2 linked regions of the Drosophila melanogaster genome follow. The protein of the gene in region 1 interacts with the protein of each later gene in a pairwise test. Each region holds a gene or a part of one and is shown on either strand. Other genes may lie near its edges.

Region 1 (17,562 bases):
ACGTCGAACAACGACAAGAAGTACCAGAGTGAGTTTATTCCCCACCCGAAACCGACCCACAAAATACTAATCGCCGAAAGTGAGGTTAGGTAGGTGTGTCGTGGCATGATATTGTTGCTAACATATTGGTGGTTGGTATTCCATTCGCAGACAAGTATGCCTCCAGCTTTGGCACGGGCATTCAGTACTCGTACTACCATGAGGAGGACGAGACAACCTTCCACCTGGTGGACACGGCCCGCGTCCAGAAGCCGCCGCACCAGCGCGGCCGGTTCCGCAACATGAGGAATTCGCGTTCCGGTCGTGGCAGGAATGCCCGCGGTGGCCTTAATACTCACGGCATGACGACGCTCAGCGGCAAGAATGTAAAGGCCCGCGATCCGCGCCATGGTCGCGGCATGGGCAAGAAGTTCGGTCATCGCGGACCACCACCAAAGATGCGCGAATCTTCGGTGGCCGTCCGCGCCGATTGGGCATCCATCGAGGAGATGGACTTCCCGCGACTCATCAAGCTGTCGCTGCCCAACATCAAGGAGGGCGTCGATATTGTCACCTGCGGCACGTTGGAGTACTACGACAAGACCTACGACCGCATCAATGTGAAGAACGAGAAGCCGCTGCAGAAGATCGATCGCATCGTGCATACGGTGACCACCACAGACGATCCCGTCATCCGGCGTTTGTCTAAGACCGTCGGCAATGTCTTCGCCACGGACGCCATCCTGGCCACCATCATGTGCTCTACGCGATCGAACTATTCCTGGGATATTGTCATCGAGAAAGTTGGTATGTTAAATGAAATACGAAATATAATAATAATAAGAGAAATAAATAATAATTGTAACCTTATTTTAGGCGACAAGGTGTTCATGGACAAGCGTGACCACACCGAGTTCGATCTGTTGACCGTGAACGAGAGCAGCGTGGAACCACCGACCGACGACGACAGCTCATGCAACTCCCCTCGCAACCTGGCCATCGAGGCGACTTTCATTAACCACAACTTTAGCCAGCAGGTGCTTAAGACTGGAGACCAGGAACCCAAATACAAGTTCGAGGAAAGCAACCCTTTCATCAGCGAGGACGAAGATATCCAAGTCGCCAGCGTGGGCTACCGCTACAAGAAGTGGGAGCTGGGAAGCGATATTGTAAGTGTTGCATAATCCAACTTTAAAGTTGGAATATTTTTCTATATTATGTTAAACTATTGTCTTATACTTTTAGGTCCTGGTAGCGCGTTGCGAGCACGATGGTGTCCTGCAGACGCCAAGCGGCGAGCCGCAGTTCATGACTATCAAGGCACTCAACGAGTGGGACTCGAAGTTGGCCAATGGCGTGGAATGGCGTCAAAAGTTGGACACGCAGCGCGGTGCTGTGCTCGCCAACGAGCTGAGGAACAACGCATGCAAGCTGGCCAAGTGGACTGTGCAGGCCGTCCTGGCCGGGTCCGATCAGCTAAAGCTCGGCTATGTGTCGCGTATCAATCCGAGAGATCACTCGCGTCACGTCATCCTCGGCACGCAGCAGTTCAAGCCGCATGAATTTGCCACTCAGATCAACCTGAGCATGGACAACGCCTGGGGAATCCTGAGATGCATCATCGATCTGGTGATGAAGCAGAAGGATGGCAAATACCTGATCATGAAGGACCCCAACAAGCCGATCATCCGTCTGTACGACATCCCAGACAATACTTTCGACTCCGATGACTCGGACGATGGCGAGGGCGATGACGAAGGTTTCCAGCAGGTCTACAACTACGCGCACAACAAGATTTAGACGCCACGCCCCCCTACTCCTGCATCCCTTCCAGTCTTGGGCTCTTTTGCCACAACCCGCTAAGAATAACCACAACTGATGTCCTCTAAAGGAAAAGGTCATGTTATAGGCCCTAGCTTAAGCATTTGTATTCGATTTAAATTCAGATATTTCCTAGTAAATCACAGAGGGCGAAACAATACATGAATTTTTATTGGTCCAGGTCTAATGCCGGGTACTTGTGATAAAAACTTTCGACTGAAACACCGAGGTCTTGTACGTAAATGACTGACTCATTTCCCGGACTCATATATAGTAAGCTGATTGTGCGTGTCGGGCATCTAGTTAAGATTTAGACATTGTTTAAACTCTGACGGTTAAAGATGGTCTTCCTACAAAGAGTGTACATATCCTTCCTGGTCCTGCATACTCAATTGCTGATGTACCTGGCTGAGTCTGGTAATATATGTTGCAAGTACTCCACATTGTATACGTTATAACATTCAAGAAAATGATTCATTTGGATATGGGTATTTCCTTGAATTTTAAAATATAAATAGCTTTGTTTCGTCCAATCATTATCTAAACATCCAATTAAAATGACTCACATAATATAATATTTATTAATATCCAATTCTTTACTGTATCAGAATATCCGCCTTGTAATCTGGATGAGAAATGCATTAGTCTAGCCCGCTGCACATCACTCTTGCCCTTTCTGAAGCCCCACAACATGACGCCAGCCGAGAAGGCGGTATTCGAGGACAGATATTGCGGCTATGGCCCCAAGGGGCAGGAATTATTGGACAGAGTTCTCATCTGCTGCCCAAATATGGGACACATTTTGCCAAATACCCAGATATGTGGACCAATCATGCCGGCTTATCGAATTTTCGGAGGAGAGGAGACGCAACCCAACGAGTTGCCTTGGATGGCCCTGATTCTATATGCGCATCGCAGCCGTTCGGTGTGGAATGAAAGACTCGTGTCCAGGTGCGCTGGATCCCTGATCACAAACCGCTATGTGCTGACCGCAGCCCATTGTCTGAGGATAACGGGATTGGATCTCAGGAGGGTGCGCCTTGGCGAGCATAACATTTTAAGCAATCCCGACTGCGTCACCCATATTAATGGTAGGGAACACTGCGCTCCAGAGCATCTGGAAATTGACGTCGATCTGAGTATCAAGCATAGGCACTACATGGTCTTCGAGGAAAGGCCCTACAACGACATCGCCCTGCTGCGATTGAAGTTTCCAGTACGGTTAGTTGCACTTGACCTGTCATATCTTTTACTACATATATATATATATATATACATTTCATATGTCTTTAGCTATACCGCTCAAATCAAACCCATCTGTGTTCAACTTGACTATATCTTCTCGAATCCGTCCTTCAGCAACCATAAGTTGCAAATAGCTGGCTGGGGACTCTCTCATAAGCAGGGCTATAGCAATGTGCTGCTACAGGCCTATGTCAATGGCAGGAACGCGGACGAGTGCTCATTGAGTGAACCATCCTTGGGATTGGACAAGGAGACCCACATATGCGCCGGCAACCTGGGAGGCAATGACACATGCAAGGGCGATTCCGGCGGTCCGCTGATGGCCATCATGGAACGTGGTGACGAGGAATTCGTATATCTAGCCGGAATCACATCCTACGGGTACAGTCAGTGCGGATACGGACCAGCAGCTTACACAAAGACATCCAAATTCGTTGAATGGATTCTATGGAACATGTACACTAATATATTCCAATGAAATAATCAAAATAGTAGAATTTGGTTAAGAAAAGAAATATTTATTGTCCGGCACTGAGCCCAAATTATCGCAAAAATAAATTAGGAAATTTCATTGAGTCATTGGGATTTATGAGTTTGTTGATCCATTTTATTCTGTATATTTAGTGTCAGATCGAGTTTGGATGTCTAGCATGTCGGACAGACGTAAAGTTTATATTTTGGTCCTTCTCCAGGCCATTTTCTTCAACCAATTGGCTGAGTGTGGTAAGCAAAAGCAATGATTTTTAAGTTTTCGTAAAAAACCGAAGATGTTATATCTTGCTCAATAATATCCTTGCAGAGGATGTGTGCTGTGAATAGGTCACGTTCGACCCCATGAATTATAAAAATTATCATATCCATCGATCCGTTTTATTATAAATCATATTCAAAAATAATAATAATAATAATATTTCCACATAGACTCGTACTGCTATACTTTATCGGGGCTTTCACTTATCTATTTTTGTAATTTATAGTTCGGTTATCAAGCTGCCAAAAGGATGAGAAATGCACCAGACTGGTTAGCTGCTCGCCGCTTATGAACATCCTTAGGCCCCGGGGCATGACCCAGGCGGAGAAAGATGTGTTTGCACACAGGCAGTGTGGCCTGGACCCCAATGGACACGAGTTGTTGCACATGGTTTATGTCTGCTGCCCAGAGTTGGGTGACGTCTTGCCCAACAAACAGACCTGTGGACAAACGACGCCCGTGTTCCGAGATCGGGGTGCCGAGAATGCAGAGCTTAATGAGTACCCTTGGATGGTATTGCTGTTATATGAGAATCGGCTATCCTTGATGTGGAATCAACGAACTGGTTGTGCGGGCTCACTGATCAACAGTCGCTGTTCACACATGAACACGAATATATTTAAAGACTTACAATTTTGGGCTCCGTTCATATCTTATGTAAATGAATCGAGAGCGATAAATTATATTTAGGATTTTGTTATCTAAGGCGACATGGGTGCATTGCTCAAAAACATGTAATTTAAGTGCACACTACATGAGTCAGTCACTTGAGATCTTTCCCCGCCTCCTAAAATAGTCCCTTAGTGGGAGACCACAGATAAGGTCCTCGCCGCTCAAGATAGGCAGATGTGCCCGAGCGTGGGACCTCGATAAGGCGGGGACTATTTACTTAGGCCTCTGCGTAGGCCATTTACTTTAAGATGCGATTCTCATGTCACCTATTTAAACCGAAGATATTTCCAAATAAAATTAGTTTCTTACAAAAACTCAACGAGTAAAGTCTTCTCATTTGGGATTTTACAGTCGCTATGTGCTGACCGCTGCCCACTGCGTGATCGGTGGTTACTTGACGCAGAATGACCTGGTTCTGAAGAGTGTGCGCCTGGGCGAGTCCACTACCGACTGCATCACCTCGGAAAGCAGGTGTCCACATTTGGATGTGGAGGTGGGGCAAACAACAGTACATCAGGGTTTCACTTCGAGTGGCGGAACTTACCGCAACGACATCGCCCTCCTCCGATTGCAATTCCCAGTGCGGTGAGTAGCAGTGATCTCCACCCTAATCTCCACATCTTATGGAAATTTCTTTACAAACCCGCTAGATACACGAAAAAGATCCAACCCATTTGTCTATTGGACGCCGAATTTCCCCTACAGGATTTGAATTTGCAAATCTCTGGCTGGGATCCGACTAAAAGCAGTCAAACGTTGATCACCAGCACGGTCAAGGAAAGGAATCCTGCTGATTGCTTGAATAGGTATCCCAGCTTTCGCTCCGCGTCCCAAGTATGCGCCGGTGGTCAACGGAAAGGGGACACCTGTGCGGGCATCTCCGGCAGTCCGGTAATGGGCATCATGGGAAGCGGCGTCGACGAGTTCGTCTTTTTGGCAGGCATTGCCTCATATGGACAACAATATTGCTACTCTGCTGGTATTCCAGGTGTTTACACAAAAATTGGCCACTTTTCGGAGTGGATCAAAGCGAATTTGGCTCCCTAATTTTAATAAAGAATTCATATTTGCAAAATTGGAATAGCATCTGTTCCATTAATCCACTACTATAAAGTAATAGACCTATAAAACCCCAAAAGATAAGAAAAAGCACTGAAGATTGTTTTTTAAAAAACGTGTTGTTCAAAAAACATAACGTGCCGAGAGAAGATTAAGCATAAATAAATTTCTAATAACTACACCGCTGGGTTTGCCCAGCTCAGCAGAACTACTATGTAAATATTAAGGCAGGGAAAGACCACCCTATTCACATAGCTTTTGCCTTTGTTGCAATCTAGATGGTATTGAGTCCGGAGATAACCTCTGCTAATCACGCCCAATGCATCGGGAGAGAATCGGTGACAGCGAAACTGCCGGACAGCTTGGTTAGTATCAGCTTGGAGCCCATAGCGACGAGATGGCTTCTACGGAACGGAATTTTCTGCTACTGTCACTGGTGGTCAGCGCATTATCCGGCTTGGTCCATCGATCAGGTGGGTAAGCTGTCCTTTGGGCAAACAATATCCACAGCAACTGGATGCAATGGTGCTTCTTTCAAAAGTATATAGTTCTATATATATAGTATAGTATAGTATATAGTTTGAATAAAGCTAGAAAAACTAAGCACTTGACCTTGTTGATTGTGAGAATAAAAACCATAACAACTAATAATCAAAGAGTTTTTGAAAACTTCAAATATATTAAATATCAACATATAGTTTCCCGGACTAAGAAATTTTATGAGAAATATTAGACATGAAGTCCATTAGTAGAATGGATTGCCTTTAATGGATTGGTTCAGAACCGGTTAGACTGCATCGTAAATCGCGCTCTTCTCTTCCAGACGCAGCGGAGATCAGCTTTGGCAGTTGTACGCCCCAGCAGAGCGATGAGCGCGGCCAGTGCGTTCACATCACCAGCTGCCCCTACCTGGCCAACCTGCTGATGGTGGAGCCAAAGACTCCCGCCCAGCGAATCCTTCTCTCCAAGAGCCAGTGTGGCCTGGACAACAGGGTTGAGGGCTTGGTGAATCGAATCCTGGTCTGCTGTCCGCAGAGCATGCGGGGCAATATCATGGACTCGGAACCAACTCCTTCGACGAGGGATGCACTGCAGCAGGGGGATGTGCTGCCTGGAAATGACGTCTGCGGCTTCCTTTTCGCTGATCGCATTTTCGGGGGCACCAATACGACCCTCTGGGAATTCCCATGGATGGTATTGCTGCAGTACAAAAAACGTGAGTAGATTACCTACCCAGGCTCTATTTTAATCTCTTATAGGAAGGTTGTTTCACGAGGTCACCTGTAATCATTTTTTAATCACTTTTTCAAATCAAATTCTCCAATGGGGGGATCATCATTATAAGAAAACGCATATTCAATATATACAAGGCTATTATTAGTATCTAATCAATTTATAATATGTACTTGGGAAACGCTCTTTATCCTTTCAGTTTTTTCTGAAACCTACACTTTCAACTGCGGCGGTGCATTGCTCAACTCGCGCTACGTCCTGACCGCTGGACACTGCCTGGCCAGCCGAGAACTGGACAAATCCGGTGCCGTTCTACACAGCGTTCGCCTGGGGGAGTGGGACACTCGTACCGATCCTGACTGCACCACCCAGATGAACGGACAGCGCATCTGTGCACCGAAACACATCGACATTGAGGTCGAGAAGGGCATCATCCACGAGATGTATGCTCCCAATTCCGTTGATCAGCGTAATGACATTGCGTTGGTGCGCCTTAAGAGGATTGTTAGGTATGTGGTCCAGAGATCCCTCAATTATTCCACTGACTTGCTTTTTTGTTTTTGCCACAGCTACACCGACTACGTGCGTCCAATATGCCTTCCCACGGATGGTTTAGTCCAAAACAACTTTGTGGACTACGGCATGGATGTGGCCGGCTGGGGACTTACCGAGAACATGCAGCCAAGTGCGATCAAGCTGAAGATCACCGTCAACGTTTGGAACCTAACGAGTTGTCAGGAAAAGTACTCCAGCTTCAAGGTGAAACTGGACGATTCTCAGATGTGTGCCGGCGGCCAGTTGGGCGTGGATACATGCGGTGGCGATTCCGGCGGTCCCCTTATGGTGCCTATATCCACGGGCGGCCGGGATGTCTTCTACATTGCCGGCGTCACCTCCTACGGGACGAAGCCCTGCGGCCTCAAGGGATGGCCCGGCGTCTATACCCGCACGGGGGCTTTCATCGATTGGATAAAGCAGAAATTGGAGCCATGATGAATACATACTTAAATACATGATAACCATGTGAAAAGCGCGATGTAGATATTGGGGTTTAATCAATTCACATGAGATCGGCACTGTCAAGTTTTGCGAGCACAACCGGTTGTAATAATATCGAACCACTTTTCTGTCAATCTGTGATCAGCAAAGTCTGGTAGTAGCTTGCCCACGTAATTTCCCATATTCTAATGGAAAAGTAGAGGAAAATCTCTGGAACTCATTTATCTCTGTTGCAATAGCCATCTCACTTGTCAATCTAGACGGCAGATGTGCCGGAGAGCTTGGTCAGTATCGGATTGGGTTCTGGGGTATCGAGATGGCTTCCATGGAATGGAATTTTCTACTATTGCTAATGGTCATCTGCGCATTTTCCGAGTGGGTCCAACATTCAGATGGGATGCCATAAACGACAACGATTTCACCTGGATCCGCTTAAAATTTTGAAATATATCCACACACGAGGTGGAGAAGGGCATTGTACATGACCAATAGTTGCCTAATTCCGTAGACCAGCAGAATGACATTGCTTTGGTTTTGAAAAGGAGTGGCATTGAAAAGGAGTGGCGGGTGTGTGGGATGTGTGAGTATTCCATAACTTCTTCATCATTGTTATTCATTCACCAGCTACACCGACTACGTGCGCCCCATTTGCCTGCCCACGGGCGATCTGATCCAGATCCAATTGTGCGCCGGCGGCATGTACGGCTATGGATACCTGCGATGGCGATTCTGGCGGTCCCTTGATGGTGTCCATATCCACAGGCAGCCGGGACGTATTCTACATCGCTGGCATTACTTCCTACGGCACGAAGCAGTGCGGCCTCGGTGGATAACCCGGTGTATATACCCTCAGGGGGGCTTTCATCGATTGGATAAAGCAGAAATTGGAGGCATAATAAATAAAATTGCTAGTTTATTCACATTTCTCGCATTGGCTAGCTTACAATATTACGTACATGGTGCTGATTGGACGTGGGATGGACTAACTAAGCTAGGTTCTAGTGGAATGCCTACAAATATTCGCGTAGGCCAGCGTTCACAATATTCGCAACAAAACATTAAATTTTATTTGTTAGCTGGCCTGATAACAACATAAAGTAAAACTCGCTGACATTACATGAGGCGGATTCCTTTAACAATTTATGCTTAGTTGCGCGCTATATATAATTCAGCTTTGTTTGTTGTTTTTTAAACTAATAACCAATAATCGTAGAAAATTTTGTTTAACTAAAAGGCTGTCTGCCAGCAATACGAGCGGATAGAAATTCGAGATTCGAGATAGGGGCTATAAAACGCTGACACTTGCCGAGGGCCAGATCAGACTCCCAAAACGCAGGCGGCAAAAGTCTTGTGGTTCTTCTGATAGGCACCATTTTCATAGGCATACGCTGGCCAGGATGAGTGGCAATCAGATCTCCTCCGGAGCAGCGCGCGGGGCAGTGCCAATTCCAGTCGCAATGCCATTACGTTCATCCGTAACCAGATTGGCACCCAAGGCAGTTAGCTCGCTTTGAAGTTGGCTCAAAACGCGCTTGACCGCTATGCAAAAGCCTCGACTGCATGGTAGCAGCGGGAATTCGGGTAGCTCGCAAGACGCCTTGTACTCCACAGGCATGTCTAAGAAAATGGATTATGAATAATCGAGCAAAACTGAGTTATTGGCTGACTCACCCTTGATTTTGGTTATATTTTGGCGCTGTGCCTCAAGAGAATACTCCGACCAGGCCCGCATGCGGGCATACAGCTCGGTGCCAAACTCCTTGAAGTGCTCAATAAGTTCATTGCGAAAGATGAGCGGCGGATTTGTCAACTGCTTCACCGTGGATTGGGCAATTTTTATGATGGCCATCTCGTTGTAGACACGAGAGTTCTCATTGCCCAGTTGGGTGCCTAAAAATAAATGGCGAAACCATTTTAAGTTCAGTCTATGGCATTGAATAGAAACAGCACTTTACCTCTTTGCTTTTCGTAGCCCGCCTCATTATAGTAGGGCTCATCGACCAGTATGAGTCCCTGTATGGAGACGAGCACCTGGAGCATGGTGCTGCTGGGCGACCAAACTTCGTTGTCGCGTCCCATCCATGTGCCAAGTAGCGACACACATACCCTGCCACCCTCGTACAAGTTTGGATTGAGACGATCCGTGCAGTAGCTGATGTAGTGGCACACCGGCGGGCTCTTCGGGTAATCGCGCCCAAATTGAAAGTCGAAAAAGAATAGAGCGTTCTGGTAGGGCGTGCGCTTGGGACCCACCATCATTACAGACATTAGGTCCATGCGATCCTCGTAGGCACGTACCACAACTCCGTTAGGTAGCGAGGACTTAAGCATAAGATATTCCCGCTGCACAGCTCGCTGATACTGCGCCTTGTTGGCCGGGGTAATCAGGTTGCTAATAAAATTATGTGCAGCTGGTGCATTGGGCAGCACTTGGAAACAATTCTCGTCCACGGAGGGCGTGTCTGGAATTATTGACCAAGATGGTGAGGAGCAGGCCATGGGACCTGTCTGGTCAATAGCCGGCAGTGACTCGGAAAGCGCGTTGAGATTCAATGGCTCTTCCATAGCTTCGTCCTCAGCCATTGTATTGCACTCGGTAGCACCATCATTGGCTAGTTCCGCTTCCTGGCTGACCGCCTCAATAGCTTCCTCTGCATCGCTAACATCCTCTTTCTCTTGCTTGGGATTGTCATTTGTCTTGCCCAACGTCACAGCGACCGTCTTGCGAATTCTGGCCATTTGAAACTTGATCAAATAACAGAAGACTTCGCAGACGTCAGCATCTCCACTTGCAACCAATTCAATTTCCAAATCATCCATTACATTTATTGTGGGATGCTTTATGTCCAACTTATTTTCGCTGTCTGGATGATTATTAGACTCGTCAGAGGTGATTTCACCGCGAGAGTGTACGCCAGAATCATTCTGGCAGCAAAGGATAAGTTGTAAAAAAAAAACAAAATTCTTTATTGTTTGAAGGACTCTTACCTTAGTACGATTTTCAATCGCTTTTGCAATGCTTCTACGTGCGTTGGCGAACATTTCGTTGTACTTGCAGCGATACTCCCTCACTAGCGGCGGATCTTCTATTACCTCTACTACCTCCACCTGGTAATCTTGCTCCTCCGAGATCTCATCCGTGCTCTTTTTGCATAGAACTTCATCCATCTCCGTAGAGGATTTTCGCTTAGTAGGACTTGATGATGACTGAACAGACGGATCCATTAAAACTGGTTCCAACTCAGCTTGGAGCGTTGATGACTCTTTGGGAACGGCGGCCGACGTCTCTGGGGTCTCTGGGGTTGCGCGCTCATGGGTGGCACTGTCAGAACAAACTTTAGAGGTAATAGGCTTGCAACGCACAATGCCTTTGAAATTAAACTCGTCGAAAAATTTAGTATTTAGCAAACGGTCTAAGGCCCGGCAATTTTTGTACACATCCAGCAGATCGTAAAGCACTTCCGCTTTCCGATTGGGATGTAAAACGCGGAACATCTTTTCTAGCACTTTCATTGCCTCTGTGGCTCTGTCAATGCCCGTAAGAATGTCGTCATCGTTGTCCGATGACGATATGTGGCTGTTTTCCGATTCCGTCTCCCACGAGTCTTCGGATCCATCTGATCCGTAGACATCTTGATCTTGTTCATTTTGTTCATCTTGTTCAAATGGTTGAAAGAGATCCTGAGGGTAGCACAATGTGATATGGCCCTTCGCCCACCAAACACGCACACGACCATTCGGGTAGTTGTCGATCACCTGACCAGCAGTAGAGTTAACATCCTCACCCGTGAAGTTTGACACTCGGATCACCACTGTGCCGGGTCGGTACTGGTAATCGGTGTGATCCTTCATGTCATAAACGCTCAGCTCCTCCAATCCTTTGAACAAAGGGCTAAACAAAATATATAGAATTATAATTTATATAGCTAAAAACAAAAAAGTGCACTCACATTGGATTATCAATATTCGTGTAGATATTGAACCACATGACCTTGGCTATGCGTGCATCATGGTCCACGCACTGAATTACCCCGTAGTCTGTGGCTCCCGTACTGATATCGTTGGCTTTGGTCACAAAATCACCGGGAAAGAATTCATGGTTGTCCAAATGATGAATAGGATAGAGCTGAGTGGAGTGAACGCCTGACTCCACCGTGCCATCCTGCCAGACGACCGTCACCGAGCTGTAAACGACCAGCGTTTCCACTACGATTTCATCGCCATCCTTGGGAGTGGTTTCCTTTTTATTAAAAGGCGAATAAATTGTTTTCTTGACAGAGCGGATTTTTTTCTTTACTTGTCGCCTCTTAGCAGATCGCATCGTTATTCTGGGAGCCTGGACTTCGACACCGGCTGCAGCTGTGGTAGCAGCGGACGGAGGCAGTGCGTCCTCAGCAACCTCCACTTCTTTTTCGGCAGTCATCGATTGATCAAGTGGCTGCATGAACTCCTCGAACTCATCCTCATCCTCCGATGTCAACACATCCTCTTTGCTGCGCTTAGACGACTTGCAAGCATTGTGAGTCTGGTCGCTTGGCGGTCGAGGCAGTCGCATACCGCTGATTTTATTGGGCATGCGGCGGAACTTTGGTACACTGCGAGCATTTCCACTAGTGGAAGCAGATGCGTTCAATTTGCTGGCCTTGCGCTGCATTTTTTTCTGGGCGTGAAAAATGGGGATGTACTTCTCCGCTGTAATACGTGAAATACAATATATATATATATAATTTATTGTTACCTCTAAACCTATTTCCTGTTAACATCCTACCTTGTTCATTTTCCCAGTCGGCATATTTAACTAATAGATCACATTTTGAATATTTGAGGTAGAATCGATCGTGAATTTGCAGCTCGTAGGACTCATAGAGGCTAAGGCGCTTGACTTTGTGCAGTTCCTCACCCTTGATCAAGGACCTTGGCTCCTTTAGAGGATCGCTGTCTGTGTCATCGCTGCCCGTGGCATTTCCGATTGCACGGCAGGACCAATCCACATTAATTGATGTAGTTTCTACAGACTCCACGGTGTACTGGATAAATAAGGTTATTTTCAATTAGCGATAGTATGGGAGGGCCTTCTTTAGTTAAGTAAAAATGTAATTAATCTACTATGACAAATCAAACTAGGGCGAATGCTACATAAAATAATAGCGTAACTAGTATATACAATCGGTCAATCTGAGACTACAAATCTATAAAGGATTAATATCTCCCTACCACAGCACGACCCTTGCGAGTTAAGGGATGGGTAATCTCCGGGGTCAGATTCTTGACACGATCCGGGGGCGGCATGCGACCGATTACAATGTTTCCTGGAAAGAAGACATTCGGATTGAAGACCGTGCGATCGCATTCGGACACAGCATCCTTAAACTTGTGGAAATCGTTGGAGGTGATTTCCACACGGGCACCGTTGGATGATCTGCAAAAAAATATTGAAAATAATGTTCGCCCGAGTTGATTGAGAGATATGAAACATACTTGAGCACAGCGCACTCATTAATGTCTATGATGGTGCCTATCCAGGTGTCCATGCAGAGAGGCACATATTGGTTCCACTCGGATATCGGACGCAGTCGCTCGGCGGGCACATTTTTAATGACCATTCTGGAGCCCATTACCATAACATCGGCGCGTACATTGACATCCCGCACGTAGCCCGCCTGGCCAGCCAAAACGTTTTCTCCTGGCAGACGCCTCCGCACCACATCGCCTGGCATTAGGGTGCGATCCGCCAGACCAATCTGTGTATATGCCACATGTTCGGATGTCGATGGAACAAAAGAAAAGAAGCAAACAAACACGTGTCAAAAGAACTTGAAGAGCAAACTCAAAACAGTTGTGAAAACAGTTATTTTTTTGGAGAGACCGTGAGACTTACATAACCTCAATGGAGTTTACTCACCGACTGTTCCGTCATCACCATCTCCTTGCCACCCGGATAGAAGGCCACACGCACCTCGCCCCTGGACAGCGAATCGACATCTTCCTCTTCGGAGGAGGAATAGGTCTCGGTCGTTGCGGTTACCAAGCCAAAATGGACGCGACCGCGCCGATCAATGCGAAAAACCCCATCCTCTAAGAAGAACTGGGACTCGGTGTTACCCTGGGCTTTCGATGGCACCTGGCCACCACCCGATCGACGGGAGTGGGAATTTGCGTTATGGCGGCTCTCCTGGTTGGGGGTCCGACCCAGCTCCTGTGAGGATGGAGGAGGATTCGCAAGCGTCGGTGTACGCGGAGCAGCCTCCGCCAAAGACTGTTCCTGCTCCTGCTGCGGTTGACCTGGTGTACCACCTGGAGCGGCCGCACCCGCCACATCGCTCATCATGTTACCAATCGTAAGCTGGGAACATGGACGGCAAGAACTTTGCCGTGGCGAATGCTCGGTGAATATATTTCTTCTCCCTTTATTGGCCACTAATTATTACAAATTCCTATAATATGCCCGACGAGCCACTGACACACAAACACACATCTAATTTACGGACACTGGAGCAAACTATAAATTTGCTTGGACAATTTCGCCAACTTCTTTCGAAAAACTATAAATAAAACAGGCAAAATCTACAAACAAAACGAGAAACTTTGATAAAAAGAATTTTGTGACTGAAAAATACCGGAGTTAGATAAAATCAATGGTTCCGAGTTCCAGTGCCTTTAAGCGAGCACTCGAACCATTATCTTGATAACAGCGCTCTGTTAAGAGAAAACAACGGTTGAAACAAGATGAGCATTTGCCCGCGAAATTGAAATGGGATAGTCTAAATACAAATTCAGTTACTCTCAATTCCGTAAAATAGTAACGCGTGTTGTTGTCTGCCTAAAAACTCACCGTTACGTTGATATAATAATGTAAATGTAAATGTGCTTTTTCCAAAAATTTCTATTATCAAATGTTAATTTGACACATCGTTCAGGGACTACTTGTATTTTAGACATGTACAGAGCCAAGTGTATCACATCATAGGCGCACTAGCATCAAAATGCTCCCTTCCTTTTCCAATAAAGGTAACGCTCATTGCGTTCTACCAAGTTAAAACAAATTCAATCTCATTTTAATACCCCGTTAAGCATTTTCCATAAACAATGAAACTTGGTTTAAAAAGAATTGTTTATTCACAAAAATTTTAGCATATATTTCTTCCAATATTGCACTTGGTCTACATATTGTCACATCTAACTATCATAGGCGGAGCGAACTGGTGGTGGCGCACACCAAAGGAGTAGCCCGGTCCACTCTTGCCAGGACGATAGTACATGAGGTCGTAGTAGTTGGGTCCAGGTCCGACATTCTCGCCCGGAATAGTGGTGCGCGGCTGCATCGAGTATATCGGAGCACGTGTCAGTTTGACATTGATATCACCACCGCCATATGCAGCCGGACCCGGAGAATTCGTCTTGTTCAAAATCTTTGTTTGTAGTCCCCTGAGATACAGGTACAAATAAAAATAGGCAACTTAGTAAAGGAATAACTATGGTAGGATTGAAATACGCACATGCTATAGCTCGGGACTCCAGGACGAACGGCATTGACCTCGTACTTGTAGGCATTGGGACCGGGACCATCCTTCTTGAAGTTAAAGTCCGTTCGTAGGCCCATCGAATACGAAGGAGCATTAACCCCCTTAAAGAATGGCCTATTATGAACATCGTGTGCTCCCGGACCGGGACTGCTTCGCTTATCTACGATTAAGCAATTTAACCAAAAACGTTCTTGTCTTCAGTACTAATAAGTTATCTTACCGATGACATTGGTTCTGGGCGCCATCGAGAACTCCAAACCCTTGCTCGTGCCATAGCGAGTCAACTTGTCCACCTTGTAGGCCCCTGGACCAGGACCCAGATCCTCACCAGGAGCACGGGTGCGCATGCCGAAAGAGTACTGCGGCAACCGCTGTTTGCGGTTGTCATGCTTATCATAGCCCACAGTGGGGGGCAGCATGTAAACGCCGGGTCCAGGGCCTACAAAAAGCATGTATAATATATTATTTACCACATTACAATTTTATGAATTCTCACTCACCAAAAGGTCGCACCGCCATTTTTGTTAGTTTTGTGCAATATTAGAAAGAAAATCTATTTTGAAAATTTAGAACCCAATATTAGGTGTTGGCCGAACAGATTCCAGTAGCAGAATGAGGCTTTCATAGAACTTCACATCGCAGCTCCATTCGAAGTCAGAGCCATAGCACACTTGTTATAGAAAAGTTTTACCACCGTAATTCCTTCACACATAACCCATTCAAATATTAATTACGTAATTCTTTTTATTCCGAAAATTTGATCATAATAACCTAAGTTACTTCAAGACATGGCAAAGTGATTTTAATAATAGGAGATTCGAATTTTATCGGAAAAATAAATTGTTTACGAAAATCAGCTCCAGATATATTGCTTTATTGAGCCAAAGGAACGCCTTATTTGCACACTCAAGGTTGTTTGCTATTTTGCTGGACAACTGGGCAGTACAGCTTATTCCACATCCATGGAGTTGTAAAGTTGTTTATACCTAGATCCCCGCCCGCTGCTTTGGAGCAGCATATCATTATGCTGTTCCCTAAGGGCCTGTTAAAAAAAAAAACACATATAAATAGTGACGGCTTAATCGAAAAATATAAAAAATGTTGATACCTTTGGATCGTATTTCTGATGCAAGTAGACCAATATTGGGCCATAAATCATATTGAAAATGCCGACAATGCGCATCAGCCAAGCAAATCCAAAGGTCTGGGCCAACTCCCCGCCAATCAGGGGAGCTATAAAGATGATAAAAATACACTTTTTTTTTTAGAAAAAAAAAAAAAACAATATCCACTTACCTAAGCAATAAGCCAGACTGACAGAGGTCTGCTGGATAGCATAGACTGTTCCGTAGCTGGACATGGAACTGCTGCCCTCACCCTGATCCTCCTGAGCCAGTGTTGCATCCACAAAGGTGGCCAAGAGTGGAACCAATGCGGCATCGATTACTCCAATACCCAGTCCCAAGGCAAAATGGGGCAGCAATAGTTGGGCCACCGTTGTAGCACTGGGTATCTGCAAAGTAAATAATATATTTGCAATATATTTCCAATTCAGGTTTTATAAAAGCAGGGCTCTCACCAGAATAGAGGCTACTCCCACCAGCAACAAACTGATACAGGACACCTTAACCTGACCATATTTGTAGGCAATGCTGCCGAAGAAGTTCGTGCCCACAAAGTAGCCCACAGAGTCTGGAATGAAAACGGTGCCCAGCTGCCACTTGTTAGGCTTTAGATACTGGATTAGCCAGATGGGCAGACAGGGCTCCAGCATGGCCATTGTTGAGGTTGAAAACCAAATGGCCAGCACAATGGCCAGGATCATTTTGCATTCGAGCAGCGATCGCCACTTGGGTCTATCCTCCACCACAACCTCCGGTTGCACCGTCAGATCCATGGTCAGGAGCTGGAGGCCCAAACTTAGGAACATCAGAGTGGAGAGAATGATAAAAGGCGCCGATTTGCCCATTAGGTCATACAGAATTCCACCGAATGGATAGCCCAGCAGCACACCCAATGCGATGCTGCCCAGGATGATGCCCATCACCTTGGAACGACGTGCCTCCTCCGGATAATGCTGGGCCACCAGGCTCATGCCGCATATGTTGATGCAAGCGGATCCCACGCCCTGCACAGCCCGGGCCACCAGGAGAGCCCAGTAGGATTCACCAACGGTGAAAACTGAAAGGTAAGTTTGGAGAAAGTTGGATATATCGTTTTACGCATTAATAAAATATAGAAATATAATACAATATAAAGTTCCATAGAATTATCAAAATT
Region 2 (13,271 bases), on another chromosome or scaffold:
AACTACTCAAAACCACTTATATTTTGTATAATTTTTGAATTCATTTTTGTTTTGATATTTAAAGATAAATAAATATACAATATTGATATGAAAACATTAAGATCAAGTTTTCTTTTGCCAGTGTAATGGTGATTCAAGTTAGAAAAGTATTATTTGGTGGGTACCTTAAACCACTCAATGGTGGGTTCCGGCTTGCCCTCCACTTTGCAGTTGAGCGTGGCGGGTTCATTCTTCTTAACGACCAGATCCGTGGGATGCTCGATGATACGTGGCGATTGGTACTGGCCTGAAAGGAGTAGGAAGGATGTGGATTAGCCACTGGGCCTGGGGAGGATTACCCAGGATGGGTTTACCTCTGACTGCTGGCAGGCCATTGCTGGCCACCAGGACGAGGAGCAGCCAGGCGGGCAGGAGCCACATCCTGCTGCTCCGACTGCGAGATGGGTTATTAGTGGTGCTCGTGCTCCGGGCGATGGCGTGGTTTTCGGGATGCATGGGATGCATTTTATGGTGTTGGTGCTGTTGCAATGACGACTCTACAGATGACCCAATGCAGCGGCGATCATTTTGGCGTTGTTTTTGGGTCCTGCGATGCATGATAGGTGATAGTATGTGGGTTAACTAAATGTGGGCAGCTGTTACATATGTAGGCGTGGCGGCATTATGGCTAGGCATTTATGGGCTTTACTTGCTTTTTGCTTTTTATCTGTCCAAAAACTCGAAATTATTTCTCGCCTGCTCCACTTACGCTTGCATTTCCATGCGATAAGCACACACACACGCACACACTCACGCACACTTGGACACTCACACACCCACACACATGTGTCTATGCTGGTTTTCCATTAATTTTATTTCCGTATTTATCTGCCTTTGTGTTTATCGCTCAGTCTCAGTCGCACCGACCCGAAAATTTACAATCCAAATTCTGATTCGGAGTTTTGATTTCACGTTCTCACACTTTCTTTCTAACGCTTTTTTTGTATCGTTCGCTGATTTGGTTTTTATTTTCCTTTTTATTTTTTGGATTTTATTAATCAGCCGCGCAGTGTAAGTTTTTGTTGGTATTTATTCGACGATTGCTCGCTTTTCGGGGTTGTTTTCTCCATCATCTCTCCTCGCGCACATTTTCCACATTTCCCGAACGAAATTTCTTTTTGGTAAAATTACAAGAACAAGAACTGCCCCGCCACCCCTCTCACTCGCACACACTGCCGTTCTAGCTGCCTCTCGCTCGCACCGCCTGCCGTTCCTGGGACTTCCCCCCGTTGTTGTTGTATCTATATCTATAACAGAGTGTTGTATCTATAACTCCTTGTAATATTTGCTTTACATCCGCAGCAGCTGCACTTTGTAATATCCGAAAACGAGTATCTACTTCAAATGGAAGCTTCGCGGTTGGATCGTACTTTCTTGGGTGCAAACTTACTCCAATTTAACTGTTGGAAATTAACTATTTTCCTGCTCTTTAGTGCGATTCACGGCGCAGCGAAAACTCACAATTGGACGTGGGTCGTGTCTGTGGAAATTTGAGAGCGCAACGCCCGGAATCGATATATCGATATATTTTGGGGTGTACCGAAAAGGAATACTCGAAAATACCAGAGGACATATTTATCAGTTGATCTGGTAGCGCCGCGTAAAGTAACTATTTGAATCTTTAATTGATTTCTATTGTATTGAAATTGAAATCGAAAGATATACCAACTATGTTTTAAGATATTAATAAAATGTAAATATTTAAATTAATGTATGTATTGTGATGTTGAATGGTTTATTAAAAAATTCCGTTTTATTCAGAATATCTATATAATTTGTGTGTGATTGCTTAAATACGTATATATTAATATTCATGTTCACGGTAGAACCAACTGTAAAATACTATAAAAATATATAGATAATTGTTATGGTAGAGAATAGTTCCTACACCAATTTAAGGTGTTTTGTTTAATATAGTTTCCCTGCATTAATCAAATAACTACAGAGTCTAGCAAATTATTCCATTCTGGCCAGGTTCATCTTTCCCCTAGCCAAAGTCCTCGAAAGAACCACGTTGGAGAGGTTGGCTTCGAAGGCAGGCGCTCGGCTGCGTCCTGGATGCAAGTGGAAAGTGGGAGGTGTGGGCGCCGCTGGGCGACGACCAGTCGGCTGGGCACTCTTCACCAGCTTGGGCTGGAGCTGCAGGCGCGACACTCTGTCCACGGACATGCTCTTGGGCCGCCGGGCTAGATAGCTATGGACGTGGCTATTGGAGCCATTGGCAATGTTCAAATTTACCAGGTAGTCCTGCAGCTGCGTCTTTAGCTGGCTGTTCTCCGCCTCCAGGCGACGCTTCTGTTGCTTCAGGCAGGCCACGTCCACGGCCACGTTGTTGACGCGTCGCCAGAAGGACTCCATTTGGGGTACCACTGCCACCTCGTCCTGGTACGTTAAACCAATGTTGAATGAAGAAATTACCTACTGGCATTTTTACTCACCTTAAGAAGATCAGTGGCTGGGTCAGTCAAGGAACCATTACCCTGATCCTCTATATCTCGAATCTCGATAATCTCCTTGGATATTTCCGGCAACTGGAACATCCGCTCCCGCTGGGTTTCCATCTTGGCACAGACCGCAGACAACTGTGCCAGAGTCTCGCCCTTGGCCACAGTTTCCTGGAGGAATTCCAAGGCATGGTAGCTCTCCACGGACATCAGCTTGAACAACTGGTGATCCCTGGCCACCTCCTGTTCCACACAGGTGCGTAGCTCCCTTAGTCGCTCGGTCAACTGCTGTTTGATGGCTTGCCGCTGCTCCAGTTGGCCCTGTTGCTTGATGTAGAACTCCTCGGAGACCAGACGCAAATTGGTCAGCTGGTCTACCAGGTGCTCGATTTCGTGGGTCTGCTGGCTAATCTGGAGGGCTGCCTCCTCATCCCGCTGCTTCAGATCCACGTACTCCGAGTAAAAGCCTTCGATGTGCTGACAGTAGCCCGCCAGAACACCCTGATACTCCTGCCACAGCTTCTCCAATCGAGCTTCACCTCTGGAGGTGATCTGCTCCAGCTGTAGTTGCATCTGGAAGTGGGGTTCAATTTAACATGTTTTCATAAACTTTTAAAATAACCTTTATTGTAAAATATAATCATCGAAGAGCATTGCACGCAATTGTAAAATTAAGATTGATATGTGTCTTGGTTCATTGTGCGTCAGTCACTCTGTAATTTGGATGCCATTCTCCAGAACTATAAATGATGTGGGCATAGCTGCTCCTCCATTCAGTTCCCAAGATGAAACAGTTGATTTTCCTGCTGATTTGTTTGAGCTGCGGCACCTGCTCCATTTACGCACTGAAATGCAGATCCCAGGAGGGACTAAGTGAAGCGGAGCTCAAGCGAACTGTGCGCAACTGTATGCATCGCCAGGACGAGGACGAAGATCGAGGACGAGGTGGACAGGGCCGGCAAGGAAATGGCTATGAGTACGGTTACGGAATGGATCACGATCAGGAGGAGCAGGACAGGAATCCAGGCAACAGGGGCGGCTATGGCAATCGAAGGCAGCGAGGACTAAGGCAATCGGATGGCAGGAACCACACCAGCAACGATGGAGGTCAGTGTGTGGCCCAGTGCTTTTTCGAGGAGATGAATATGGTAGGTGATCCAAGAGATTCCTTTCAAAGTCGAAATCCTTCAGAGAAGCAGGAGCTTATTCCTTTCAATTCTCACCCACAGGTGGATGGCAATGGGATGCCCGATCGGCGCAAGGTGAGCTATTTGCTGACCAAGGACCTTCGGGACCGGGAGCTGCGCAACTTCTTCACGGACACCGTGCAGCAGTGCTTCCGCTATCTGGAGAGCAACGGAAGGGGCCGGCACCACAAGTGTTCAGCGGCCCGGGAACTGGTCAAGTGCATGTCGGAGTACGCGAAGGCGCAGTGCGAGGATTGGGAGGAGCACGGCAACATGCTCTTCAATTAGGATTAAACTCACCCCACTTTTTAGGTCCTCGCAGCGGTCCAAGAAACGCTCGTGGTTGTCCCGGATCCCGCCATCGGTGTTCTCCTCCAGCTGATAGAAGACGCACTCCAGTTGCTGCTGCTTCTGGGCATGCATCTCCTTGAACGCGGCGGAGTCCTGCTCCCACTGGCTCAGCACCGCCTGCTTGTCGTCCTCGTAGATCGTCCGAAAGAACTCGATGCGATCTCTATGGGTATCTGGGTAAAGGATAAGAAATAAATGGGTTAGAAATGAGGCCTAGTTGCGTTGAATGGTTTGTGTCCATTTTAATTTTCATTTTACAATGCTTCTTATTGTTCATAAAATGTACATCAAAATACTCCAGTAATTTTTGGATTTCCAAATATTTCAATGTTCTTATTAACGAAAGCATTAATATACATGTGAAATCCATTCCATTCATTTTAAGTATCTTTAAACATATTGCTGTAGCTGTGTATTTAGTTTCTGATTAAAATGTTATTTTTAAGGATGTTATCCCAATCGTACCAACTATCCTGGTGATATTCTCCATGTGTGACTGCTGCAGATTGGCGTACATATCCTCGGTGGATTCTATGTGAGCAATGAGGCGATGGATCACCTGGTCCTTGCGCTTAAGTGCCTCCTGAAAGAAAGACTCCACATCGACGATTTCGCGGCGCAGCTCCTGGATTTTCACCTGGCGCAAAATGCTCCGCCACTCCTGGTTGATTTTAGCCATATTGAGTCGACCAAAAGCATCCTCTCTTTTCAGTTTGTTCTATTTTAATGGGAAAAGTCATACCATAGGGATTTTGATTTTGATTTACTGCAAATTCGTGGTGTGTTACCTTCATGTACATGGAAATGAGCTGCATTTTCCGCCGCCTCGTCTCTTCCTCCATGTCGGCCCTCATTTGCAAATACCTGGCCCGCTCCTCCTCGGACATGTTGGCCAATTTGTTGCCTTTTCCTTTACCCTTTTTGCCCATGATTTAGTTTTTTTTTTTTACGGCTACCAAAAATCAGCTTATCAAATTTCAAAGGCCAATCTCTGACTAATTAGGCGAGCAAAGAGCCGCCTTGGAAAATAAATAATAAATTGACTGCCGGCGTTGCCATGACAAGATTCACTAGCCCACCCACTCCATATAATTTCGCTTTTCGTCGCCAGGTTTGTTGCCATAATAATGGATGCGAATTAAATTAATGCGAAACAGTGGAAAACGCCATTAGGGCTGTCCATCAAAGGGGAACCATTTGACATATAAAACTGAGGACGAACCGCTGGAAAGCTGTCATCATGCTGAGAATTGGTTTCGTGATTTGTGTGATTATATCACTGCGCTTGGTACGTACTCATAACACCGTTTTCAATTTGTTCTGGATTGGATAATGTTCGAGGGTGTTTTTAATGGATTATCCACACTAGATCGGATTTATTGTACATAATAATTTTGAAAGTTCAAGGTCCATCGGGGATCCGTATTCGAGCTACTTTTTAATCCTTTAATATGTGCATATTTCTATGCAGAATGGACTCGTGGCTGTCCGAGTTCATTGCCGGCACATGGAGCGTATTCACGAGGAGAACATCCACCATTGCTGCAAACATCAGGATGGCCACGACGATGTCACGGAATCTTGCGCCAAGCAGACCAACTTTCGTTTGCCCAGTCCCAATGAGGAGGCCATCGTGGATGTGACCGTGGACCAGGCGATGGTTGGAACCTGCTGGGCCAAGTGCGTCTTCGATCACTACAATCTGATGGAGAACAACACACTGGATATGGACAAGGTGCGCTCGTACTACAAGCGGTACCATCAAACAGATCCGGAGTACGCGACTGAAATGCTGAATGCCTACGAAAAATGTCACACACAATGTGAGCTCATGCAAAATAACCATCAACATAGTTTAAAATTGAATTTTTCCATTCCAAATTTTAGCTGAAGAGGCCACCGAAAAGTTCCTATCACTTCCAATTGTTAGGGCCTTCTCCACCGCCAAGTTCTGTAAGCCGACCTCGAGTATCATCATGTCCTGCGTCATCTACAACTTCTTCCACAATTGTCCAGCGAGTCGCTGGTCAAATACCACCGAGTGCGTGGAAACCTTGGCCTTTGCTAGGAAGTGCAAGGATGTGCTGACTACTATGTAAGCACTTTAGAGTCCTGCCTCAGGAAATACATTTTAATTGGGAAAACGAAATGATTTTCCAATGATTAAAGCAAAACAATGGCTCTCAATTCATGTGCTCTTTTGGTTTATAAGTAATGGTGGGTGATTGAATGCCAACTCAGCAATACATTTAATTAAATGGATTTATTGTTATCAAATCACTTGCAAAAATACGATATTAACTAATGTCAAGTTGATCGTATTTGTTTACCATTACATCCCTATAAAAAAAAAAACATCCAAATATACAGAATAATTCTGAATGCATAACATTTTTTCATCTAAACAAAATAATTCGAATGTCGTAAATCGTAAATTTAATGTTCTTTATTGCAGAAGAATGATATTCTCATTATTCACAAAGTAGCCAGCGAGTCCTGGCACTTCTTGCTGAAGGCCAGGGTATCCTCGCACTCCTTGGTCTTCGACCAGCGATCCGCCGGGCAGTTGTGGAAGAACTGGCGGATGACACAGGCCAGGACGACACTAGACTTCGGATCGCAGAATTGCTTGGACATTTGCTTGAAGAGGGGCTTCGACAGGAACATGGAGGTATTCTCTTCGCCTTTTGGTGAAAAAAATATCAGTTAGCCAAGAAGTTCTTGCTGAAATAACAACTCTGTACTTTTGCCGTGACAATGATCAAAGGCGTTGATCATTTCCTTGGCATATTCCGGATCGTCGGGAAACCTTTCAGTGAACAAACTTCTCACGGCATCCATGTCCAGGTTGTTGTCCTTCATCAGGTTCAGTTTGCTAAAGACGCATTTGCCAAAACAAGTGCCTCGGATGGCTCGGTCCGCCGTGATGTCCACCAGTGCCTCCTCGTTTTGATTGGGCAGCGTAAAATTGGTCTCCCTGGCACATCCTTCGATTAGATCATTGTGTCCATCGGGATGCTTGCAGCAATAGTGGATGTGGTCCTCGTTAATGGCCTCCGTATTCTCGCAATCAATTTTAATTCCACCAGCAAACTAAGTCATGTATTTGAATATATATAAACAGTGTGAATTTCATTCCTCGAACTCACCCAAATCAGGCTGAAAAAACTCAATAAAATGGTGCACTTCATTGCTCCGCCGTTTATACCAAAATCAGCCCACTACGACAGCTTATATAGTCACCCACATATCGTTTAAATAAAAACAGGAAACCGCTGCCAATTTGCCAAATGTCGAGCCATCAGACTGTCTGCAAATGTTTCTTTATCCGCTCATTTAATTCCAGTCATTACAATGGACATTTGTTACATTTAATTAAGCAATCCAATTTGGGTTTAAATTCATTTATCCAAAATGATGAGCACGCATGGTTTTATAAATGTTATGACCATGGTAAATTAATCACATTCGAAAAGCAATGGTCAACATTGTTTGTTATTGGACGTTCCTAATTCTGGTGGCCGTTTCAAAGGCTCAGGATAATGAGGAAACTACTGCAGTTGCCATATCTTCAGGTGACTTGACTGAGGATAAGTGTAACACATCGGTGAGCTTACTTTAAAACCGAACAGCAAACGTATTAAGTCTAAAAATTCAATTTAGAGGGCTGGCTGCTGTTCTGAACTTTATATAGGAGAAGAGGAGGACCTGGTCAAGTGCTTCGTTATACACTCACCCAAGTTGCCAGTGGATGGGGACGCTGACATCGGCAAGACACTGAGGTTTCTATCGGTAGGTAATTAAAGCTTTATATATCTATTATAACGAAAATATTTGTATCTTCAGTGCTTTGTGGAGTGCCTGTACAAGCAAAAGAAGTACATTGGTAAGAGCGACACCATCAACATGAAGATGGTCAAGCTGGATGCAGAAAAGACATTTGTGGATCGGCCCAAGGAGAAGGATTATCACATTGCCATGTTCGAGTTCTGTCGCAAGGATGCTGTTGGGGTCTACAACCTTTTAAAGGCCAGTCCTGGGGCTAAGGTGCTCCTGAAAGGAGCCTGTCGCCCCTATCTATTGATGGTATTCATGTGCATCAGTGACTATCATCAGAAGCACGAGTGTCCCTACTTCCGGTGGGAGGGCACTGCCAAGGCAGGAACTAAGGATATGTGCGAAAATGCCAAAGCCGAATGCTACCAAATAGATGGAATTACACTGCCCACAAAGAGTCCTGCCTAAGAATACGTATTAAAAAAACTCAAAAATGTCATGTAATAAAATTAAGCTTATAAACGCAGTATGTTTTTTAGTTTTAATCACACACCACACACATAAATTATTCGCACTGATGAATCAGTTTCAGATTCGCTTGGCTCAAGCGGGAGACCAGGATGGGCTCAACAAGCTGATTCGATCGCCAGGTGTCAAGTGGTTCGGCAATATCCGTCCGAAATTTCGTGGCAAGGACTCCCTGTTCAATTCCTATCAGACCTACAGGATATTGGCTTTTTGCACTGAATCCTCCGCATTGGTGGCCTATGCCGAGTTCCGTAACTATCCCTCCATTGCCGCTTTGCCCACGGATTGCTGGTTGGAATGGTTGTCCACCAGATACTGGTACTGATACAAGGACTTAAAACGTTGAATATATCATCTATTTCCGATATATCCTTTAGCCTATCCATGTCCATTAGCTGGCTGAATGCGTTGTTTTTCAACTTTTGCGTCTACAAGAGCGATCAGTCCCCGGTTCTGGTTGAGATCATAAAGGATGTGCTCTACAGGGAGAGCAGGGTGTGGTTTCTGATCACTGTTAGGTGTCCGTATGTGCCACAACCCATCCACTTTGTGGAAACCTTCGATGATTTGGAAAAAATATCCCAGGTCTTTTACCCGCTGGAATATAGCATGGATAAGAATAACAACACACAGTCCCTGTACATTGTGGATAGGTTCGTAATTCTGCCGAGGATTACTTACCGGAAGGCACTGTAAGCTCTGTTCTTTGTGCTCCTTGTTCAAATTGTATACTATATCAGAAATAGCATTTGAAATTTTAAATTCAAATGCCTCTTAAAAAGCAGCAGACTACTAATCAGTTTGTCTGAAATCGATATCGCCTACTAAGATATTGTTAGATATTGTTAGGCATTTGAAGAAACTGTTTCAATAACATTCTTGTTTTGTTTTAAATATTTCCCATGAAGGGCCGAAGATAACGACGATATTATAGCAATGCAAGAGGTCGAGAACCCAGAAATGCGAGAGGAGCTGGGCGACTACTACATTGCCGAGGAGGTAATGGGACAGAATCCGAAGAGTATGCTTGTTGTGGCCGAAACAATCAATCAGTCGCAGGAGTCAGAAATGGCCATCTTTCTGTGGCTGTCCTCGGATATAGACATTATGTTCTATGTGCGCAACTACGAGATGGAACAATTTGGCAATCTGGTGAAGCCAGCGGATGGAAGGTCCTTCCACTACGAGACGATGACGGTGTCGTAAGTGATGGCTTTACGTGCGGAAAGAGTAATTCCTTACCGACTGTCCTGCAGATCGGTACAGCGAAGAGCGGAGGCTAGCATGTTCACCGCAGATGCCCTCGACGATCTGAATGCGGTGACGATTCTGGGAGGACTGCAAAAGGTTGACAGCGGTATGAGGTGTGATTATTTATTAATTTGTAAGGCAAATATCCACAATGATTTATATTTCTCAACAGCGTGGCCAGCCTGGGTAAGATGAAGGTCAGCTCCATTGGCGGCACAATTGTGGATACAAATGTGGCGAATGAAAATAAGTTCTACATGCGCGAATGTCTGTACTCCAAGTTCAAGTACATTCTTGAGAGTGAGTTGTACTGCGAATGCCGGATGCTCCGTTCATAACATGGGTTTATCTAGAACTCCACAGCACCGATTACTATCTGCGGCACGAACAAAGCGTGATTAATTTTATATATCCGGCCGGAACGGAGCCCGCAGGTCCGGCGGCCATGGCGGCGGCATCAAACGTTTTCCTTCTCAGGTGCATTGTGGCACGACAGGATTTCCCACTGCCACGCCTCTTCAACGCAATGGTGGCCATTTTCAGCGCCTATCCGGACAGGGATTACTGCATGATGCTGATGTCGGTGAAGTACAAGGCGAGCAAGAGCTATCTGGAGGTGATGCAGTACTTTATGGTAGGCCAGACTTAGTTTAAGTCAACGAAATAGTTTAAAATAGTTCATACACCAGCCAGTCGCATCACGGCCAAGTAATCTGTCCAGCCTGGACGATGTATTCATAACACATCGCAGCACCATCTTTGGGGAGATTAGTCTGTACAAACTGGAAAAGGAGGACGTGGCACATGTGCACAAGTTGGCACTTGGGAACTTGCCCAGTAACACACAAACTCCTAATTCAAGCAGCAGCAGCTTCTCGTACTGCTCCAAGGTAAACGAGCGGGAGGAGCTGGAGCACGAGCTCCATGTGCTCGATGCGATCATGAAGGATGTGCTGGAGAATGAGTTTAGTGAGTTCGCCGTGTTCACGATTCGGTGTGGGATCTCTACGAGATCTGTTAGGGAAAACACTGCGATTGGTTTTGTGATTGTGCGAGAATTTCACAGTCATGAAAAACTCTTTGAACACTACCACCTTCCCAAGCAAGAATATCAGTTGAATCGACGAAGGGCAGAGATCATATCACTGCGTTTGCATCCTCTTTTCTTGGTTAGTGCCGGTCTGATATTTAGGGATTTGGCCAGGAAGACAAGCTTTTACGATTATTATTTCATTCATTCTGTCGACGTAAGTGAATAGTGCGCTAGAAATTTACTTTTGATAAAATTACTCTTTAGGGCTATAAGTACAGCAACGACTTGAAAAAGATGATGATGGTCGTAGAGCCGAAGCCCATTAAAAAGGTTCCGGTATTTACTAGGGTCCAGGCGAATCATAAAAAACCGAGGAAAAAGCTGGATCTACCACCGCCAAACTTCTCTAGGGATAATTTGATCATCTATCGCCACAAACTCAATCCGGTTAAGTGGTTTACCAACAGCCAAAAACTGGTCATCATTGGATTCAGTGCAGTGACGAAGGCCTTTCTGCGACAGCTTGTGTTTCAATGGAATAGCAAGGAGTAAGTATAGGGTTACATTGTTTGCGATTTCGAATATGAGCCTACAAGACGGATTCGTTTCGTCTTTTTAATATGTTTGATATTTCTCATTAGCCACAAGAACTCGGAAAACTTCACCTGTTTGACTAGGCTTCAAGTGACCGTGATTTGCAGGGCGGGTATTGTAGAGGCGGACTATGACAGCCTATTCAAGTGTCCTTATTGCACTAATAGGCAAGGATGCTATCTTTCGTACCGAAATGAGTCATGCTACGTGAGAGATTGTTGCATGCGGATTGATTTGCGATGCTGGGTGCACTTTGTGCCAGGAAAGGTCGAAAAGGTCGATAGGTAGGGTAGTCATTAACTTATGGAACCTAGTGACTGACAGTGCTCTCAATATGCGTAGAGATAAAAAGTTTGTGAAGCTTGACTCGTGCGAAATTTACTATGACACGCTATTGCTGATGTGTGACCGGATGTTCGTGCTTCGCTGTATAGATGTGCCGGTGTACTCGCCACGACCTTGCAACCTCGTCGAGATTAACTTCCGGCTGAACAAGTTCCTGCTGTTCTACAAGGTTCGAGCACTCCTGGAGGATATGCCGCGAACGTATTTGGTCCTGGTTTATGGCAACAACTTACACACCTACGAGTGCATTGCCTTTCTGATCGGCCACGGTGTGGATTGTTCGCGGATGGTGTTCGTCCAGCCACATCGCATCACTGGAAGGGATGCGGACATGAAGGAAAAGTGTCCATACTGGGACAAAAACTTGCAGATGATCATGGACGACATCCTAGTGGAGAAGGGAGTCAATATCTTTACGGACTATGACTTTCACCATTACAATTTGCATAAGTCAACAGACTTCATTATGGAGGTGATATTTCAACATTTCCCCACTCAAAAACAGATGACCTTCGAATGCGACCTCTTTATCTCCTTCCAGGAGGGACACCTCCATCAACGGCACAAGCAATGTAAGTATGCTTAATGGCTAAAATCTTTGGTAAAAGTTGAAACTTCTTAGGGCTAGAAAATGCCGGCATCGAGCTCGACGGTAATCAAATTCTGGTAAACGAGCGCTATCAGACCAATGATCCAGATGTCTATGCAGCTGGTAGCTTCATTAAAATGCGTATTACACCCAACTACCAATATAAATTTGTCAGTGAAAGAGAGTTGGCCCGCAAGGTGAAAAAGGCGTCGTTTAACTCATTTTATAATGTCCAATTCAGATCCCCAATTATTTTTAGATCTTACATCATCTGGGCATTGTTACGGACAAGAATTTCGAGGATCGATTCGCCGAACCTGTGCTCTTCCAAGCCATTCTTCCGTTGCGGTACTTCATCACAAAAGTGACCATGCCTCGGAGATACCTCCTTTCCCAAGTGCCTGTCATAAAAAATTGCAACCTGACCACGTATAAGAACAAAACCTTCTGTCGTGTGGGTCTATCAACGCGAATGATGGTGGATGAGATCGTGGTTGTAACAAAAAAAGTAAGACTATTTTGTGCAATAAGTATATTCATTCGAATAAATGTTGTCACTTTAGGAGTGCAATTTGGACTTCTTGCTGTACTTTTGTGGCAAGCACGAGTTGCTCCTGAACAAGCTAAAGTCACGCTATAGAGCCAATTTGATTCACTGCTTTTTGAAGTTCTTCCAGGAGCCCTGGACAGAGCTGATCATGCATGATGACTTTGAGGAGCTCCAGGCGGAGAATAAGGAACTGCTCAGCCCCATGGCCATTTCGGCACTTTCAGTGGGTTGAATGAGGTTCATTCAATATATTTTCCCTTTGCTATTTGAACCTTTACAGCGTCCAGGTCGTGGAGCCTTGGGCGAATTGACGGATATGGATTTCTTCACCCTGAACAAGCGCTACATCGAGCTCAAGCTACTGACTTTCCTAAGGGAGCATCGAAGAGACTTTCGTCACAAGTTCGCCCTGCCCGAAGACTTTCTCAAATTGGACCTGGCTGATTACGAGCGATACATGGATACGGAGGAAAATGATTCGTCGTCGGACTTGAGTGAAACATAGTTTTCAAATGCAAAGCAGTCTGGTTGTGTACTTTCCGATTTTCATGTGCAGTGCTCAGACTCAAATACACATTTTACT

The links.
Region 2: the proteins of CG10254 (region 1) and Obp58c interact in a two-hybrid assay, tested with the Drosophila melanogaster proteins (one large-scale study listed by BioGRID).

Annotation. Positions count from the first base shown.
Region 1 is NT_033777.3:23,680,362-23,697,923, forward strand, and holds CG10254 (uncharacterized protein), read right to left. Parts: upstream 14,623-17,562; 5' UTR 14,592-14,622; intron 14,366-14,591; exon of another isoform or gene 14,165-14,365; 5' UTR 14,088-14,164; coding exon 13,662-14,087; exon of another isoform or gene 13,645-13,661; intron 13,501-13,644; coding exon 13,238-13,500; intron 13,179-13,237; coding exon 12,974-13,178; intron 12,787-12,973; coding exon 12,528-12,786; intron 12,452-12,527; coding exon 11,710-12,451; intron 11,652-11,709; coding exon 10,748-11,651; intron 10,685-10,747; coding exon 9,715-10,684; intron 9,650-9,714; coding exon 9,431-9,649; intron 9,377-9,430; coding exon 9,168-9,376; 3' UTR 8,646-9,167; downstream 1-8,645. Other genes in the region: eIF3d1 (eukaryotic translation initiation factor 3 subunit d1), read left to right, coding at 1-28, 151-786, 856-1,148, 1,225-1,779; CG16710 (uncharacterized protein), read left to right, coding at 2,142-2,217, 2,409-3,021, 3,094-3,523; CG18754 (uncharacterized protein), read left to right, coding at 3,696-3,768, 4,023-4,344, 4,820-5,053, 5,119-5,515; SPE (Spatzle-Processing enzyme), read left to right, coding at 5,925-6,000, 6,351-6,743, 6,960-7,269, 7,330-7,753; CG10252 (uncharacterized protein), read right to left, coding at 14,920-15,184, 15,256-15,442, 15,503-15,721, 15,783-15,801; prt (portabella), read right to left, coding at 16,232-16,324, 16,391-16,515, 16,579-16,795, 16,862-17,463.
Region 2 is NT_033778.4:22,699,449-22,712,719, forward strand, and holds Obp58c (Odorant-binding protein 58c), read right to left. Parts: upstream 7,231-13,271; 5' UTR 7,213-7,230; coding exon 7,171-7,212; intron 7,115-7,170; coding exon 6,766-7,114; intron 6,706-6,765; coding exon 6,497-6,705; 3' UTR 6,424-6,496; downstream 1-6,423. Other genes in the region: robo1 (roundabout 1), read right to left, coding at 165-286, 354-504; CG30259 (uncharacterized protein), read right to left, coding at 1,996-2,421, 2,478-3,056, 3,971-4,194, 4,487-4,739, 4,810-4,950; Obp59a (Odorant-binding protein 59a), read left to right, coding at 3,269-3,631, 3,713-3,958; Obp58b (Odorant-binding protein 58b), read left to right, coding at 5,262-5,309, 5,493-5,844, 5,909-6,120; Obp58d (Odorant-binding protein 58d), read left to right, coding at 7,500-7,628, 7,685-7,813, 7,868-8,266; CG30275 (uncharacterized protein), read left to right, coding at 8,376-8,644, 8,704-9,018, 9,235-9,528, 9,583-9,690, 9,750-9,877, 9,931-10,211, 10,267-10,824, 10,875-11,158 and 6 more.